Linked DNA regions of Saccharomyces cerevisiae S288C. Changing the gene in region 1 together with any one later gene gives a genetic interaction. Each region holds a gene or a part of one and is shown on either strand. Other genes may lie near its edges.

The links. A genetic interaction does not mean that the proteins touch.
Region 2: mutations in MUP3 (region 1) and UBP12 together harm fitness more than expected from each alone (negative genetic interaction), as found in Saccharomyces cerevisiae (one large-scale study listed by BioGRID).

The regions. Positions count from the first base shown.
Region 1 is NC_001140.6:21,975-29,477, forward strand, and holds MUP3 (Mup3p), read left to right. Parts: upstream 1-4,266; coding exon 4,267-5,907; downstream 5,908-7,503. Other genes in the region: EFM1 (protein-lysine N-methyltransferase), read left to right, coding at 1-1,566; CBP2 (Cbp2p), read right to left, coding at 1,643-3,535; YHL037C (uncharacterized protein), read right to left, coding at 3,804-4,205; putative ATP-binding cassette multidrug transporter VMR1, read right to left, coding at 6,004-7,503. UniProt on the Saccharomyces cerevisiae protein: Very low affinity permease for methionine.
Region 2 is NC_001142.9:60,765-70,130, reverse strand, and holds UBP12 (putative ubiquitin-specific protease UBP12), read right to left. Parts: upstream 6,327-9,366; coding exon 2,562-6,326; downstream 1-2,561. Other genes in the region: AAA family ATPase CDC6, read right to left, coding at 1-793; fatty acid elongase ELO1, read left to right, coding at 1,349-2,281; PHO90 (SPX domain-containing inorganic phosphate transporter), read right to left, coding at 6,642-9,287. UniProt on the Saccharomyces cerevisiae protein: Ubiquitin carboxyl-terminal hydrolase that recognizes ubiquitin chains that stabilize FZO1 and promote mitochondrial fusion. UBP12 deubiquitylates FZO1 only after oligomerization.

The sequences.
Region 1 (7,503 bases):
GCTTTATCAGAATTTTCCCAGGCTGCTAATGAAAGGAGTCTTTTGAATTCCGTGACACAGTTGTACTTGTCAAAGTTGAAATTTGGCACCGATGCAGTTCACCTGAAATCCTTTTACAAACCATATTTAGATGTGCTACCCTTGCACCTTCCACAACCATATTTTTGGTCTACTGATGAAGTCATGAATTTGCATGGTACAGACGTGTACTTAACTATGAGAGATACGCTGAACAAACTAGTAAAGGAGTGGAGGATGCTGTTCCAAGCTTTATCTATTGAACACTCTTCTCAAGATAAGCAGTTCTTGTCTTTATTCCAGGAGAATAAAGACTCTGCCGTAGTGCCGTTGGAACAGTTCTGCGCACACATCAATGGATGTAAACTAGAAGATTCGGAATGGAACTCGTTCGTGGCGTATCTTTGGTCGTACTGCATCTTTAATTCTAGGGCATTTCCTCGTGTCATTTTAGGCAGGGCCGGTACAGACCGCACCAATCTGAACGAAGGATTTTTGTATCCAATAGTAGATTTATTAAACCATAAAAACGATGTACCAGTAAGATGGGAGATGAATGAACAAAATGAACTTTGTTTCATGTCGCAGACTACCACATTTAGTGCACAGGATGAATTGTTTAATAATTATGGTAATATTTCTAATGAAAAATGTTTGTTAAACTACGGGTTTTGGGATTCCTCGAATAAGTTTGACTTCTCTAGGTTGACTTTAAAGCTACCATCCACCTTAGTTAGCGGTTTGCCCGTGGATTTTAACAAATCAGGTAATTTTGTTACTGACGATGGAGAAACTACCATTTTACAATTTAGTTTAAAAATTTCTGAACCATTACCACCGGTTCTACTAGCGTTATTTGCCTACCTAAGTAAATTAAAGTCTGAAGAAACTCCAACCGTAAGGAGCGTATTGGAAGGTATTGATCAATTAACATCTGTAGTATCCCAGAGATTGCTGTTTTATAAGAATTTTAAAATTAAAACTTCTTCGACTCAAAAATTACGCCCTCATGTTATTAAACTAATCAAACTATACTATCAAGATAACAAAAAAATTCTGAACGCCACTACTGAGAAATTGTCCGTTTTACAAAAAAAAATATATAGCAATAATAAGGAGTTTTCTCTGTCATTCAAGACAATTTTTAAAAACGACAAAATATTTGCCAATTCTCTCTTACTGGTATTTGGTGCTATAAATTACGAAGATTTGATCACAAAAGACTGTCTTAATGACGCATTGTTGCTCTGGATAGTCAAATTAATCAACGATAAAAGTAATAATCAGGGAGGTTTCATTAAACAAACCTTCAAAGAAGTTAGTGATTCAATTGTCATTGAAAAAGAAGATGTTATGGAGTTTTTGCCGTTCTATAAAAAATACTTCCCTAATTTATCGGAGAGAATTCCAGAAATTTATAGTGTCGGTGATTGGGGCATAAGACAGTTCATTGTGGCAGATACTGCGATTGATAGATTGGTTTGGATCAGGAAATCAAATAAAGAGCCTATATTTCTAATGAAGAAGGCATACGACTTACAGATTTAGCTTTGATCTGTAGCCTAAGTATAAAATTCTACGTATGTATATATTTACATGCAATTTTTTCTTTTTCCAATTCATGTTAATGTTCTTCATCATTTGATAATAGGCCAATGATATTATCTACTATCTTCTCCTTTTGAGGAGAAGCTGCTTTCACTTCCTCGTTGCTTTTCTCTTCGTATAAATACATGAATTTCGACTTGTCCAGCATTTTTTTATCAATACAATGCATGTGCCCATGAAGTTCTACCTCCGACAAATCTTTAACAAAATATGTCGTTATTTGTGTCATGAATTTCAGTAGGGTTTGAAATATTTCGGGTATGGCGTTCTTCTTATCCAGAATAACAATTTTGTAGTTTGCTGATAATGTTATTGGACGAAGCTGGATGGGCCTATTTACGCGGAACTTTTCGCCATATATTTCCTGTTCGAAGTATAAAAGTTGGTTGGCCAATTTCTTTAATCCGTTTGCAGATTGTAGCGATTGTTCATTCGCAAAACCAGGTTCTATTGTTGCATTTATTGACTCAGTGAAACCCACCAACTCCATTAAAGTTGGTCTTAAATCATCTTGCATAAACTTGTACAAGTTTGGCTGGAAAATTCTAATCATTTTCGATTTTGTCAGCACGGTTTGCAAAATTAATGTGATGTGTTCAAATCTTGATAAAGTCGTTTCATCATTTTGGAAAATAGAGAATTGGTTCCATTTCATTTCTGAAATTACCAGTGCGGAATATGTTTGTAGGTCATGAAGAAAAGAGTCGTATTTTGTCTTGTAGTTGATCAGAGAAGCTTGGTCCGTGGGTATTTTCATGGACTCGGTCTCTTGATATTGCTTCCATATATATGAGTCCCAAACATTCCAACTAAATTGAAAGGAAGGCGCATTATCGTTACCAGAGAAGGAACGGATGCTTTTCTTGTTACGTTGTAAAATGGTGAATATATTGTAGAGAATGAAATTTTTGCAAAATTCAGCCCTCAATTGCCGGATGGAGAAGTCGTTTGATAATATTGTAGCTCTTAAAATGTCTCCAGGGCACGTTCTGTCTTTGTTTGATTGTTTGCTCCACAATGTCTTATGGCTAACCGATCTTTCTAAAAGTTGCTTCAAAGTGACGACATTACCACCAGCGATTCGAGTTGTGGCACTGTTTGCATCCAGATAGAATGGTTTACCCTCTTCGTTCGCCAGTATCCGACCAGCGTTAGCCTTCTCAATGCGCTTTCGTTCATTCAAGGTGCAAAGTGGCGAAGCTATCTTGGTCTTCAATTTGTCTACCTCAGTAACGAAAAATTCTCTATGTTTATCTACAAAGTAAGGGAAAATACCAATTCCATCGAATTCCCCAATCATCGCCTCATCGGAAACCTGGAAAAGAGGCAAGGGCTTTGCATTAGCTGGGTTTACAAACATGGGTACCTCACCATTATTTTGTTCCAAGAGTCTATCGTAAGTGCTCTTCTTAACCCCGATTCCCCGACAAAAGTTTGAAAATATCGACTTAGGCCAAATTACACGCTGCAGTTTCAACTTATCATCTTTGCATCGTACCCTTATTAATTGTTGCCACTCGAAAGATGGCTTGAAGTCCTCATCCATTTCGCTGAACAACTTCTCGTAGAGACTTAAGGGGTGGTCAAACATAGGCGCAATCCGTTCCCAGTGTTGGATCCTCTTCTTCGAGGATTTTTGAGTTAGATCTGTTCTAACAATCTTGAATGCGTGTTCGCGAGGGGCGTTTATATCACGTAATAGCAGTTTTTGCAAGTCCGTGAGTGAAATATTATACAGTACTCCTTCAAGATCACAATATTCATAAGATAAGTTTGTCTTCTTAAACGCTTGCTTACAGCGAGGGAACACCTGATGTGTGATATTCTCCATGTTGAACTTATACCTGTAACGAGAGGAACTGCCCTGTCTCCTCAATGAGACCATGAACAATGTTTGCCAATTCACCATTTTGGTCACTCTGTCTCAAACCTTTCCTTCAGCGCAGCCTTACTCCTTCAAGAGAAGCCTTCATTGTCCATTCACTTAAGCATAATTTGTCATCTTCAATGCAATTGAACTTTCACTAAATACACCCATACACACCAATCTTGGATTCTACTCGGCGGCAATCTTCACTCTTTCCTTTGTTTTATCATTTTCTATTCCACCTTTAGTTCCCCAACTTCACCTCTTATCGAACTATCAACACATTTGACTATCATTTTGGCAAATTCACTCACGTGAGGGCGTGTGCTAACCATGCAAGGGTTATGGCATGCGCATCCATGTGGCGTTTCCTACTTTTATTTTTACATAATATATAAGATAATTGCACATGCAAACAGTCAATCTTTTTCCTGCAATTGATGTGGAGACCAAAAGGTTTGCATCTCCTAGTACCACGATTTTTTGGTGCAAAAGTGTTGATAATGTAATTCAGGTAGAAAAGGTAGAAGTTTCCTCTAGTATGTTCACAGATTGGATTAGAAAAAAAGATCACGCGACTCTTGCCGGAAAAAACTGTGGCGTCGCTGCATATATATGACAAATCAATCATATAGATTAGAGGCCTGCCTGAGTCAAGGGGCAAAAACAATACACATATAAAGACCTGGATGCTTATCGATGATCTGTACATTCTGTTTGTAGTCTAAGTTGCTGAGGGCAACGTAGACGTACAGTGCTCAAAATAAGTAAAAATGGAACCGCTGCTTTTTAATAGTGGGAAAGCAAATCCCTCTCAAGATGTTTTCATAGATGTGGAAGTTGGTGATATTACCACAAAATATGGTTCCACAAATACTGGATCATTCAGTTCGATGGATACTGTGGAAGCGCAGGCGATAAAGGCAGAGACGGCAAGATTCATGGAAGTTCCACAGGGAAGACATTTAGGTGTGTTCTCCACGGTTGTGTTATTTGTTTCGAGGATAATGGGGTCAGGTATATTTGCAGTACCCAGTGTGATTTTACTGAATACAGGTGGTAATAAGCTGATATATTTTGCGATCTGGGTTTTTAGCGCTGCGATCGCTTTTGCAGGATTGTATCTTTTTCTAGAATTTGGTTCCTGGATACCGAAATCAGGTGGACGTAAAAACTTCCTCGAACGGAGTTTTGAAAGACCCAGACTATTAATTAGTGTGGTGTTTTCGTGTTACAGTGTTTTAACTGGCTATGCATTGACGGGATCTATCGTCTTCGGTAAATACGTGTTGAGCGCATTTGGAGTCACGGATGATTCGTGGTCCAAGTACGTCAGCATATCATTTATAATATTTGCCGTTCTCATTCACGGTGTCTCTGTAAGGCACGGAGTGTTTATACAGAACGCACTTGGTGGTTTGAAGTTGATCATGATTGTCTTGATGTGCTTTGCCGGGCTATACACGCTTTTCTTTTATAAAAGCACCGGTCAAGTTGCCTGGGACCTCCCAGTAACCCAAGTTGAGAAAGATTCTCTCCTGTCGGTGTCCTCTATTGCTACTGCCTTTATCAGCTCATTCTTTTGTTTTTCTGGATGGGATACAGTTCACACAGTTACATCAGAAATTAAGAATCCCGTTAAGACGTTGAAGGTGTCAGGTCCCTTATCGTTGATAATTTGTTTTGTCTGCTACACAATGATGAATGTGGCATACTTGAAAGTTTTGACATATGAGGAAATTGTTAGTGCAGGCCCCCTGGTTGGTTCCGTGTTGTTTACCAAACTTTTCGGACCCAGAGTTGGTGGCAAATTCATTGCTTTTTCTATCGCCATTTCTGCAGCATCTAATATTCTGGTTGTCATTTACAGTATATCAAGAGTTAACCAGGAAATATTCAAAGAAGGTTATTTACCATTCAGTATTCATATGTCCAAAAATTGGCCATTTGATGCACCTCTACCATCTATTTCTTTATGTGGCTTTATAACCATTGCTTGGATATTGATTTTACCCAAAGAGGGCGAATCCTTCAATTATCTGGTATCGATGGATGGTTATGGTAATCAGTTTTTCTTATTATTGGTCGCTATTGGGCTCTTTATTTGGAGGTTCAAACACAAGAACGAAGTCCCAGAGATTCGTGCATCTACTTTTGGAGTATTAGCCATTATTACATTATCATTATACATGTTGATGGCACCATTCTTTGCCGACCCTAGCCTAAACAGAGTTGGGTTCCTGCCGCCCTACCAAATCATGTCATTACTGGTAATAGTTGCATGCTTCTTTTTCTGGTTAGTTAAATTCGTTTTACTACCTAAATTCTTCCATTATAAACTTTTACCCAAAATCACTTATTTGCATGATGGGCTCATTGTCACAGAATGGGTGAAAAAGCCATGTCTGTGTTAGTTTTTCCTTTTCTACATAAATATTTTATAGACTACTATTGCATTTTTAATAAATAATATTCATCCTCATCTTTGAATAAAAGAAAGAAACATTCGATTATTTCATCATCTTACTTGATTGCTTGGCTATTTGCTTCAAAAGCTCTAGGCCCCCACTGTCACGACACATACTATAAAATATACCGCGTTCATCTTTCAACAGTTCACTAGGGCGATCATATTCTTTTACCTCACCGGCATCCATCACAATTATCCTGTCGTAATCGATAACAGATCTCAAACGATGTGCAATAGTAAGAATTGTGCTTTTATTAAACTCACTTCTTATAATACCCTGAATTAAATGGTCAGAATCGTAATCAATAGAGGAAGTAGCCTCGTCCAAAAGTATTATCTTTGGCTCGCGTAACAATGATCGTGCAATAAAAAGCAATTGCCTTTCACCTTGGGACAGATTTAAGCCGCCCTCAGCTATTTCTGTGTGAAGATTTAAAAATTTATTATGAGTGCTGTTAAAGCGTTCCTCCGAGTTAAGCACTTCTTCAAATTCATGTGAAGAAATTAGATTTACTTGTGAAAGTGCTTTGAATATTTTTTTTTCATCATATTCATCATATGGATCAACATTACTTTTGATTGTACCTGCAAATAGAATAGGGTCCTGAGGGATGATAGTAATGGAACGACGTAATGTAACGAGATCAATTTTACTTATATCCTGCCCATCTATTTTGATACATCCGGTTATTGGTTCTAGTAATCTGAATAATGCCGTTATTATGGTAGATTTGCCTGCGCCAGTTCTTCCGACAATCCCAATCTTACTTTGAGGATCCACTTTGAAACTAACATTTCTTATGACAGGAGGCAAATTTGGCGCGTAACGTAAAGATAAGTTTTCAATTTCAATTTCTCCATCTTTTGGCCACGATGGTTCGTTTAGAAGTAGAATGCGGCCTTCATCATGGCCAAGATAGTTCTCTTGTTCAATGCTAGAATATTCTTTTAGTCTTTCAACAGAGTTCATGTTCATTTCAAATGTTGAGTACAGTCTAACTAACCATAAAGCACCATCTGTAAACAAAATGGCATATGTCAAAGAAATGCCGGCAAGACCCGAGTCAATATTTGCAATATTGAGCAGAATAAAAGAACCTGATGCTAAAACAATGAATGCGCCAATCATGTCGACTCTAAAAGAAAACCATTTGACAGTAACTGATAAATAAAAGAATGCTCTGTTATTTTGGTCAATTTTGTTCATATTTTCTAAAATGAATCTCCTCTCGTCGCCAAATGCACGAATTGTGCAAACGCCTACCAAGGTCTCTGAGAAATGTTGAAAAATGGGTGATTTGGTTATTGAATCTAACCTTTTCAATTCTCTACTTGCCGTTAAGTACCATTTCCCCACAAAGAAATATAAAACAAAAACGATAACGGCGACTGTCAAAAAGCGAGGAGTTATTACGGTAATGAGAAATATAATTGATGCGCATTGAATTAGGCAAAATATAGTTACTTCTAAGTATGGAATCAATTCTTGATCAACACCTTCGATGTCCTTTGAAAAGCGATTCATGATTCTACCAACCGG
Region 2 (9,366 bases), on another chromosome or scaffold:
GACTATTAGCCATACCGATTAACACAAAACTCACAGTAGGCAATTTCGCCAAAAGGAATAATTCAAGAATAGTTCTAACTGATTGTGTCTCGCTCGTGTTAGCATGCAATAGCCTGTCCATCTCGTCCAACACAACCACAAACGTAGTTTTCTTATGATAAGGCTCTAAGAACTTCTGTAGATGCTGCATGTTTTTTATTTGCAATGTTGGGCCATTCAGATCTTGGAAGGAATCGAAAATCTTCTGGAAAATGGAGGACGGCTCTCCCAACGATATACAATTAATACTGGTTACCGCCACGGATTCTAGCCTTCCATCGGGCAATTCAAACCAGGACAAATTCTGCAAGTTCGGATTCGTATGTCTCAGCACGTCCTTCGAGCGTGGCGTGGAGAGCGACAATGGGAGGGACTGGAACTTCTGTCTTATAATCATATCAAGCTGGGCAGTCTTGCCAGTGCCAGGCGGACCCGTGATGTACAGTGAATCGGACCTGTGTTCAGAAATTGCCTTCGCCAAAAAATTCATAACTTGTTCGTACTCTGCTGTTCTTGCTGGCAATGCACCATCGCTGCTATTCAAGTTGACTAGCTCAGATGACTTCTGCAAAAGTGCCTTTGTCCTCAAAAAAATAGACTGTGAGCCAAACTGCAGTTTTTCTGGGGATGATTCTGGTGTAACATCTGTGAACTGCAACTTTTTTCTTTTCAAAGGTCGTGGAGGCGTTGCTGGAGCATCGTCAAATAGATTTCTTCTGATACGCTTAGTTGGAGTTATTGGTATAGCTGACATGAACGTATATGGTACTATTGATGAAAATAGTGCAGCGCAGTGTTCTGAATATTCCAAAATTGTTCTTCCAGAGAATATACCTCTACTATATAAATGAAAAAATAGACTAACTAATACTATTTTTCAAGATGGCGTTATATCTTTTCTGCCAGCCAACTCAATTTCCTAAGTGGGTAATTTCCTGATCTGGAAACTCCGACGCGTGAGGCCTCGCGTCGCTTTCTTCTTTGGGTAATTCAGGGAAAACAAAGGAATGCAGACTAGCAACTAGTTTCAAAACACAACAAATCGCAAGCCAGACATATTTTGTTGAAACTACAGATATTTCTGCTGCTTTTATTACCTTGCACTTACGTGACGTGACGAAATATTAGTTCTAAACTCAGGGTCTTGGCTTACCCGCGTCGGCTTTACGGATTAGTAAACCGAAGGACATAAGGGAAAGAAAGGAAGCCAGAAAAAGAGGTAGAAGTATATAAGACTAACTGATATGAATATTAAGGTAGGATACCTTATCAATTTTAAGGAACTTGAGAGCTAAATTTGCAAGCAAGTATGGTAAGTGATTGGAAAAATTTTTGCCTCGAGAAAGCCTCTAGGTTTCGCCCAACAATAGATAGGCCTTTTTTTAATATTTATTTGTGGGACTATTTCAATCGTGCGGTTGGGTGGGCCACTGCAGGTCGCTTCCAGCCAAAGGATTTTGAGTTTACCGTTGGGAAGCAGCCTTTGAGTGAACCTCGTCCGGTACTGCTTTTTATTGCCATGTATTATGTGGTTATATTTGGCGGGAGGTCCCTGGTAAAGTCATGTAAACCTCTCAAGTTGAGATTTATTTCTCAAGTCCATAACTTGATGTTGACTTCTGTTTCCTTTTTATGGTTGATTTTGATGGTGGAACAGATGCTACCCATAGTGTATCGCCATGGGCTGTATTTTGCTGTTTGTAATGTTGAATCGTGGACGCAACCGATGGAGACATTATATTATCTCAACTATATGACAAAGTTTGTGGAGTTCGCAGACACTGTCTTGATGGTGTTGAAACATAGAAAGTTGACTTTCCTACATACATACCATCATGGTGCTACAGCTTTACTGTGCTATAATCAATTGGTTGGTTACACAGCAGTTACATGGGTTCCTGTCACCTTAAACTTAGCTGTTCACGTTCTTATGTATTGGTATTATTTCCTTTCTGCTAGCGGAATTCGTGTTTGGTGGAAAGCCTGGGTTACAAGACTACAAATTGTGCAGTTCATGCTTGATCTCATTGTCGTTTATTACGTGCTTTATCAGAAGATTGTTGCTGCATATTTCAAAAATGCTTGTACTCCACAGTGTGAGGATTGCTTAGGTTCAATGACGGCTATTGCTGCTGGTGCAGCCATTCTTACATCCTACTTGTTTTTGTTCATCTCTTTCTATATTGAGGTTTACAAACGTGGAAGTGCTAGTGGTAAGAAGAAGATCAACAAAAACAATTAACCAGTCCTTCTGTTTTGTTTTTTTCTGTTTTTCTTCCTATCTTGTATTTGACTTATATATAGACTGTTTTATTCGAAATAATCATTTTGCTTCGTTTATGTAATTTTTGTATTCATAAGCCAGTATTTTCTCTTCTTTTTTATTTTTTTTTTGGAATGTCGCGCCCAGGACAAAAACATATAATTTATTAGCCTAGGCAGTAAATAGTAGGCGAAAAAGATTGAAAAGTATTATACATGTGGAAATTTATTAATTTTATCTATCATATAAACTCATGTCATTATTCTGGCGATTCTAGTGTCACACCATTTTTTAAATTCAAATCAGCGACTTCGTTTTCTGGGCATCCCTCAGATATTTCAGACGTACTCGATGAACCCAAGCCTGAATTATTCTTGTAGACTTTTTTCAACAATCTTAACTTTCTCCTACCTGAATTTGTCCTCTCACCATCATCATTGTCATCTTCGTCGTTGCAGTCCTGAGTTTCAATATGCCCAACCTCCAAACTACGATTACTATATTCAGGGGCCTGCACATCTTCATTACATTCTATCATATCATCAGAAACATCTTCCTCCTCGTCAGTCTTATTAAATTCATACAACTTCATCTGTTCATCGTATATCTTTTTGATACGCTCATCATATCCGTGGCGTGACTTTTGGATTATTTCCTGTAGTTTAGAGCTGCCTAATCCATTGCCATCTTTATGACGGCGAATGTAAAATAGCAAATAAGCCGATCCAGCTATACTATTTTCTGGCGCAGTTTCAGTTACTCGAGAATCATCAAAATAGTACCATTTATTGTCGGCAAAATTCTTTACGTACGCGGTATAGTGCCCACCACCCAAACCACCATAGTGGTTATCTACTGCATACAGGTCATAGATTAAACCTCTGGGATCATCTTTATAGACAACGTACCTCGACAGATCCAAATCTGTAATGGGGAAATTAACCGTGGCATCAATTTTATCGCTAAAAGACCTTTGACTTTCAAACCTTTTAAGGTGAATTAGCAGAATATCTGGTGTATTCCAAAGTTGTATTTGTTTGGTAGCCTGACGATGTTCCTTGCATGTAGGGCAGTACCACGAATCGGTTAATCCTAGTATTTCTGGTTTGGAAAATAATTGGAGACAATCGTCCAAGGTTATGGTTCTTTCCTTAGCGTTAGATCTTTCCAACTTAGCGTTCTCCAACTCTTTGTTAGGCAAAGTAGCTGGATTTTCCCAGTTATATATTTTATCATCGGAAAATGCCTCATTTGAACCCAATTCGCTCCACTCACAAACAATAATATCATTCATAGAAAGAATCGCAAACGGAGTGGAAGTCAAGCTATCCTTAATTTTATCTAACGCCTCTGGCTTATCTGTTAATTCTGGCTCTGTACTTGCATCTTCTTCAACATCATCTGTTAGTTCCATATCTTCATCCCGATCATTAGTATTATTTACATTTTCATTATTTGTTACAGTTTCTTTATTTTCTTCATCATCTCCCGATTGGAAGGGCTTGGAAAAATTCTTTGCTTCACTACCCTCGGTATCTCCCTCATCATCCACTTGCATAAGGACCCCTTCAGCACAATCTACTAAGGATGAATAATTGTAGATATCCTTCACCACATCTTCAAGTTTATCGTCTATATCTGTAGCTTTGTCAAGGTTTAACTGGGAGATAGGGGTCCAGAAATTAGGCCCTGTTCGGTTATTACTAGCAAATTGCTGCTCTTTTTCTACAGACAGAATCTTGATGGAAAAAAAGGATTTATCCTTGTCAGTCACCTTAATAGACGTATACTGTAGTATATCTTTATATTGTTCAAATTCAACATCTGGATATTTTTCTACTAATAATGGAAAAGCATCAGCAAAATCGGTTCGATTTCCTACAGGTTCAGGAAATGGGATATACCCACCACTTAAATGGACAAACCTGTTTTGCAATTTCATTCTTATTGCACCTGGATTATTCAATTCATCTTCTTTTAACGTAATAAAGAAAGGGACTCCAAATAACATTGCATTTTTGTAGCCTTTTTCAATTCTAGTATTCAATACGGGAACAATTACTTCATTGTCATTTGTTACTGGTAATTCATAAAAAATAACGTCATCAGCAGGTTTGATCAATTCCTGCAAGGTTAAAAATTGAGCATTCGACTCTGTTGACTCATAGTTAACATAGATTTGATTACTGAAAATCTCACAGCCAAATAGTGTATTTGGATCTAGGCCCGACATTTTACCAACATAATTCTTCAAGTCCATATAAGTGGACGATTTGCTTAACTCAACTTCAAGAAGAAGTGGTGGAGAGTTCATGGGAAAAATTTTTATAGTTTTATCCCACACTGTATCAACCGGAAGCGGCAATGTAACATCATTATACGGGTCAAACGTTATAGAAACATTTTGACATTCGGGACAATATAGCGTTGATTTGTACATCCCGACAAATAAATCCGTTATAACGGAACAATTTCTCTTTAAATGCATCTCCCAAGTATCGTCTGCCAGTTTCTTGACTACATTCCAATCATTCACGTCATCACCAGGAGATAATGATGGTTTTTCTGTGTATTCTTTCTTTATTATCCTGTTCAAATCTTCATGTAAACTGTCTAACAGGAAGGCTAAAAATTCTTGAGAATCCTGTTGCATATAACCAGAAAACATCGAATTAAAGTGCCCGATAGTGGATTTGAACATTGAAGGGGGGAAAGCAGCATTTCTTTGCATTATGCTCATCCTGTTTTGAAACAACTTCTGAACCAAGTCACTAAATGCCCTAGCCACATAGCCGTGGTACCCAAGAGGATTTTCTTCATTGATTTCGTCTTCATAACCATCATAAAGGAAATAATCACGCAACTGCGGAATGTGTACCAGGCATTGCAACGCAGAATTCATGTAACATGTATTTCCCAAATTGACCAAACCAGTAGTACCTGATGCTGGTTCGAGTTTATTATAAGCAAAATAGTTTGAAGGCCAATGGTGATTCCCTTCTATAGGTTTAATTTCTATGACAAGGTCACTCGGATTTGAAGTTATCTTGTCTAAACGGTTTTCAAACATGTCTGGTATTAGTAGTTTCTTTATCGGTAGTTCGAGAAATTGAAGCGGAGTTATTTCATATGAAGAATTCAAAAAAGTACTAACATTGCTATCTGTGGCAATATCAGATCCCTCTGACACAAACCAAATTTTAAAATCCACCGCATTCACGTCTAGATGATCAGCTTTCTCAAAAAACAGATTCATACTCTTTTCAACCAAATCACGTACTAAATTCAACGCAGACATCGAGAGGTACATTATTGAATCGTCCTGGCCATGCCTCCTTTTCCTCCCGTCTTGTTTTTCGGTCAGGTAATGTAGTCTGAAAAACCATTTATTGTATTCTGTCTCTAACTCCCCTGTGGTTTGGTTGATAACCAAATTAGTTACCACTGGGTAAGAGCCACTTGTCATGCCGTAAATTTCTGATAGAAAATTGAAAACAGGCTCTGCAATAGACAGATACGGACATCTATTGTAATCCTCAAGCACAAAATTTTCAAAGTCTCTGCAAATCATGCGTGTATTAATAGGGCCTATATCTTCAGGATCGGTAACATCGGGGTCGAAAAATTTATCGTACCAAACCTTGGGGACAATACAGACTTTATCACCCTCTTTTTGCGTTTCCTTGTTTTCTTCTATTAGTCTAGCAACCACGTCTCTTTGTTGTTCTAAGACATTTCTTCCATCTTGACCATTAGTTCCAAGATTAGTTTCACTTGCAGCGTGTGGCTCAGCTATTAACTCATTAGCGCTAGCAAATGAAGAAACAGCGGAAGCATCGGATTCCGTATCCTCAATTTCACGATCTGAGACTGGGACAGACTCTTGCTTTATTTCATCCTTGTCATCTAGAACATTCATCAAGTCCACTCCCAACCGATCACATGGTGTTGTGCCATCGGTGAAATCGGGATCTTCATTATAAACCAATGAACATTCACGACTTGAAACATCTGAAGAACCCATTTTCGAATGAAGAAACCTTCGATTGAAACAACAACGTTCTGCAGGATTTTCCTCCCTTTATTTTTCCAGTAATCCCATCTTTTATCTTCATGCACTTCTTCAATACGTAATAATATTTTTCCACGAACCGACCAAATTTCAAGGAAAGTGGAAAAATTTTTAATCTTTTAGCTTATAAGAATAACGAAATATACCTGATTATAACAGGGAAGCGTACCTTTTTTTCGAACATTAGACTACACAACAGAAGTGTTGGATTAATCGAATACATATAGATTATATATACGCTGTTACATGCTATCGTAGACGTATCTCTTACGCAGAGGTTGCGTTACCCTTGACAACAGATGCCATGATACCATAACCTAGAGTAATGACACATAGGAAAGCCAAAATAGAAGCTGGAACACCTCTCGTTAAGAAAGTCATGACACTTAAATAGCGATCGCCCTTTCTATCTACTTTAGAGATGGCAGTGACATTGGGGAACCCCGAAGAAGCTAGTCCCATACCACAGGATGACAATAATGCACAACCGAAAACAAGGATAGGAGCAGCTTTGGGGTTGCCAAGCTTGTCACCAACTTCTTGCACCAAGGGAATGATGATAATAGCGGATACTGTATGCGAGACGAAAGTACCCACAACCAACATCAGGATACCGAAAATACATAGAATGGCAAAAACACCATCATTCTCAATTTTCTTTTGTAATGCTTTTGCAATGGTTGATAGCAAACCCGAGGATGAGACGGCCTTCCCCAAAGCAATACCTCCCATTGCCAAAATAACGATTGACCACGGAAAGGCATTTAAATCTTGTGTTGATAGTAATCCGGTACCAAAAAACAAAACGATGGGAATGATTGCAATTTGACCTGATGACCCAAAAGCACCTTCAATCTGGCTTTCCACACACCACAACAAAATAGTGGCCACAGTGACAGTAATGATATAATACTGCTTAACTGTGAATTTCGTCTTAATAGGCTTAAATTTTTCCAATTTGGTCTTATTCATCTTGAAAGTAGTGAACAATAAAATCCAAACCAAAAGCATGGCCAGGATACCAGATGGCAATGCAACAGCAAAGAATTGGCCCCAGCCAATACCATAGGGTTTCAAGTACGACATGGAAATGATGTTTTGAGGTGAAGAGATTGGTGAAGACATACCACCGATATTTGCAGCCAACGCTACACCTAACACCAATGCTTGCGCAAATGGGCTATCTGCATCCATGGCATCCAATAGGGGAGATAACAACGAATATGTTAGAACAGGTGCTGCGACATTGGAAATCCACATTGATAGGAAGAACACGACACACATTGCCATTAAAAGAACGTTTCTGGGTTTACAACCAGCGAAGGCCAACAACCACGAGGCAAGAACTTTGGCGATGTTATATTGTGCAAGTACTTCACCCAAAGTAAAACCTGCCAGCAGAATCATAATTGTAGAAGACCACATGGCGGCCAAAATTTCTGATGAAGCGCTTGCAGCACTCATTATAGCCCCGTCGGAGGTTTTTAGGACTTTGAAAAGGACTACAAGTAGTGGTACAAGGAATGCTGTAATGTGTAATGGGATGGCCTCACTAGCCCACAAAAAGGCGACACACTCGACAAGGGCCATGCAGCGGTGCTGAGCAGCGTCGTTGAAGGTCTTTATTCCTAACAAGAGTCCAGTGACTAGAATAATAAAGTAAATCTTGTATGCTTTCTTGGTGAAAAATAATTTCGGTAGTGCAACGTTGTTTATACTAGTGAATTTTAAGTTTATCGGTCTGGGTAGTGGCCATCTGTAGTATTCCAAATCTAACTTGCCTACCAGCTTATTTGCATTATATTCTGTTTCCTTTGGTGTCAACTCGTCAGCTTGCGATAGCAGTCCCAACATGTCTTTCCAAGTGTTACTTCTTTCCCAAACAATGTGGTCATGCAGGTAGGATTTCAACTCTTGCTTGCTATGCGAGATATTATGAGGCCGGTCAGTGATGCGCGCATAAAATGTGACTAGCTGGGAAATTTTGGAATTTAGCAATTCGATCGTTTCTGCCTGGAATGCATATGTGTCTTTGAAAAACTGCTCCGATTCGATCAGTTCGGTTCTTGTATTCAAGTGAAGAACTTTGTCTGATTTCTTTGTAATTTTTGCAAACCCAATGCGGTTCAATTCGATGAACGACTTCAACTGGCAAAGATCGATATATAGGTTTACGATCGACTTCTTCAACAGCGATTTTTTCTGAGACTTAATGTTATACTGCGAATGATGCAGCAAAGCAGTATTATCTTCAATATTAGATTGATCATCGTAAAATTCGTCGTCGTCTTCGTCATCATCCAAGTCTAGTGGGGGAACTTCGTCATTTGTGCTGGCAATCGGTTCGTTAAACAGAGTATCATCGTCGATATCGTATTCTATAACTCCGATTTTCTTCAGGTCCTTCACCAGCGCGTCAAATTTGTCGTAGAACTTCGCTTCTGTCCTCTTATAAAAATCATCTACTTTCTGTTTTTCAGCTGTTAAATCACCAACAAACGTATCATAAGTGTCTAATTGCAGATTTTCGTTGGCCGTGGAGGAGACGGACGATGCGGAAGACGACCTTCTTTTGTAAAATATCTTTTCCTTCATTCTTCTGAAAGGAGAAGGTTTGGCAGCGACCGTCTGAGCAGTAGGCAACTCTCGCAACTCGATGGTTTCCTCAACGATGCCTGCATCTTTGTTCATACCGGAAGACGTATCTTCCTTCGCATTTTTAAAAGAAAACTTGTTTTTGAACCTATCTGTAATGTTAGAGCTCTTTCCTGCGCCAAATCCTTCTTCGTTATCACCAACCTGAAGTTCATCTGTTTGTAGCGTGTAAATAAGATTTTTCAGCTCGCTGTAGTCCATATAATGGTTTTGCCATTCTGGGACAGCATTGTACTTCAAGAAGTGTGAAAATCTCATGATCCTGTACCAGCTACCACTTACTCGTTTATCCTAAAAACAACTTTATTGGCCGGATGACATCGAAGTGAACAGTGTT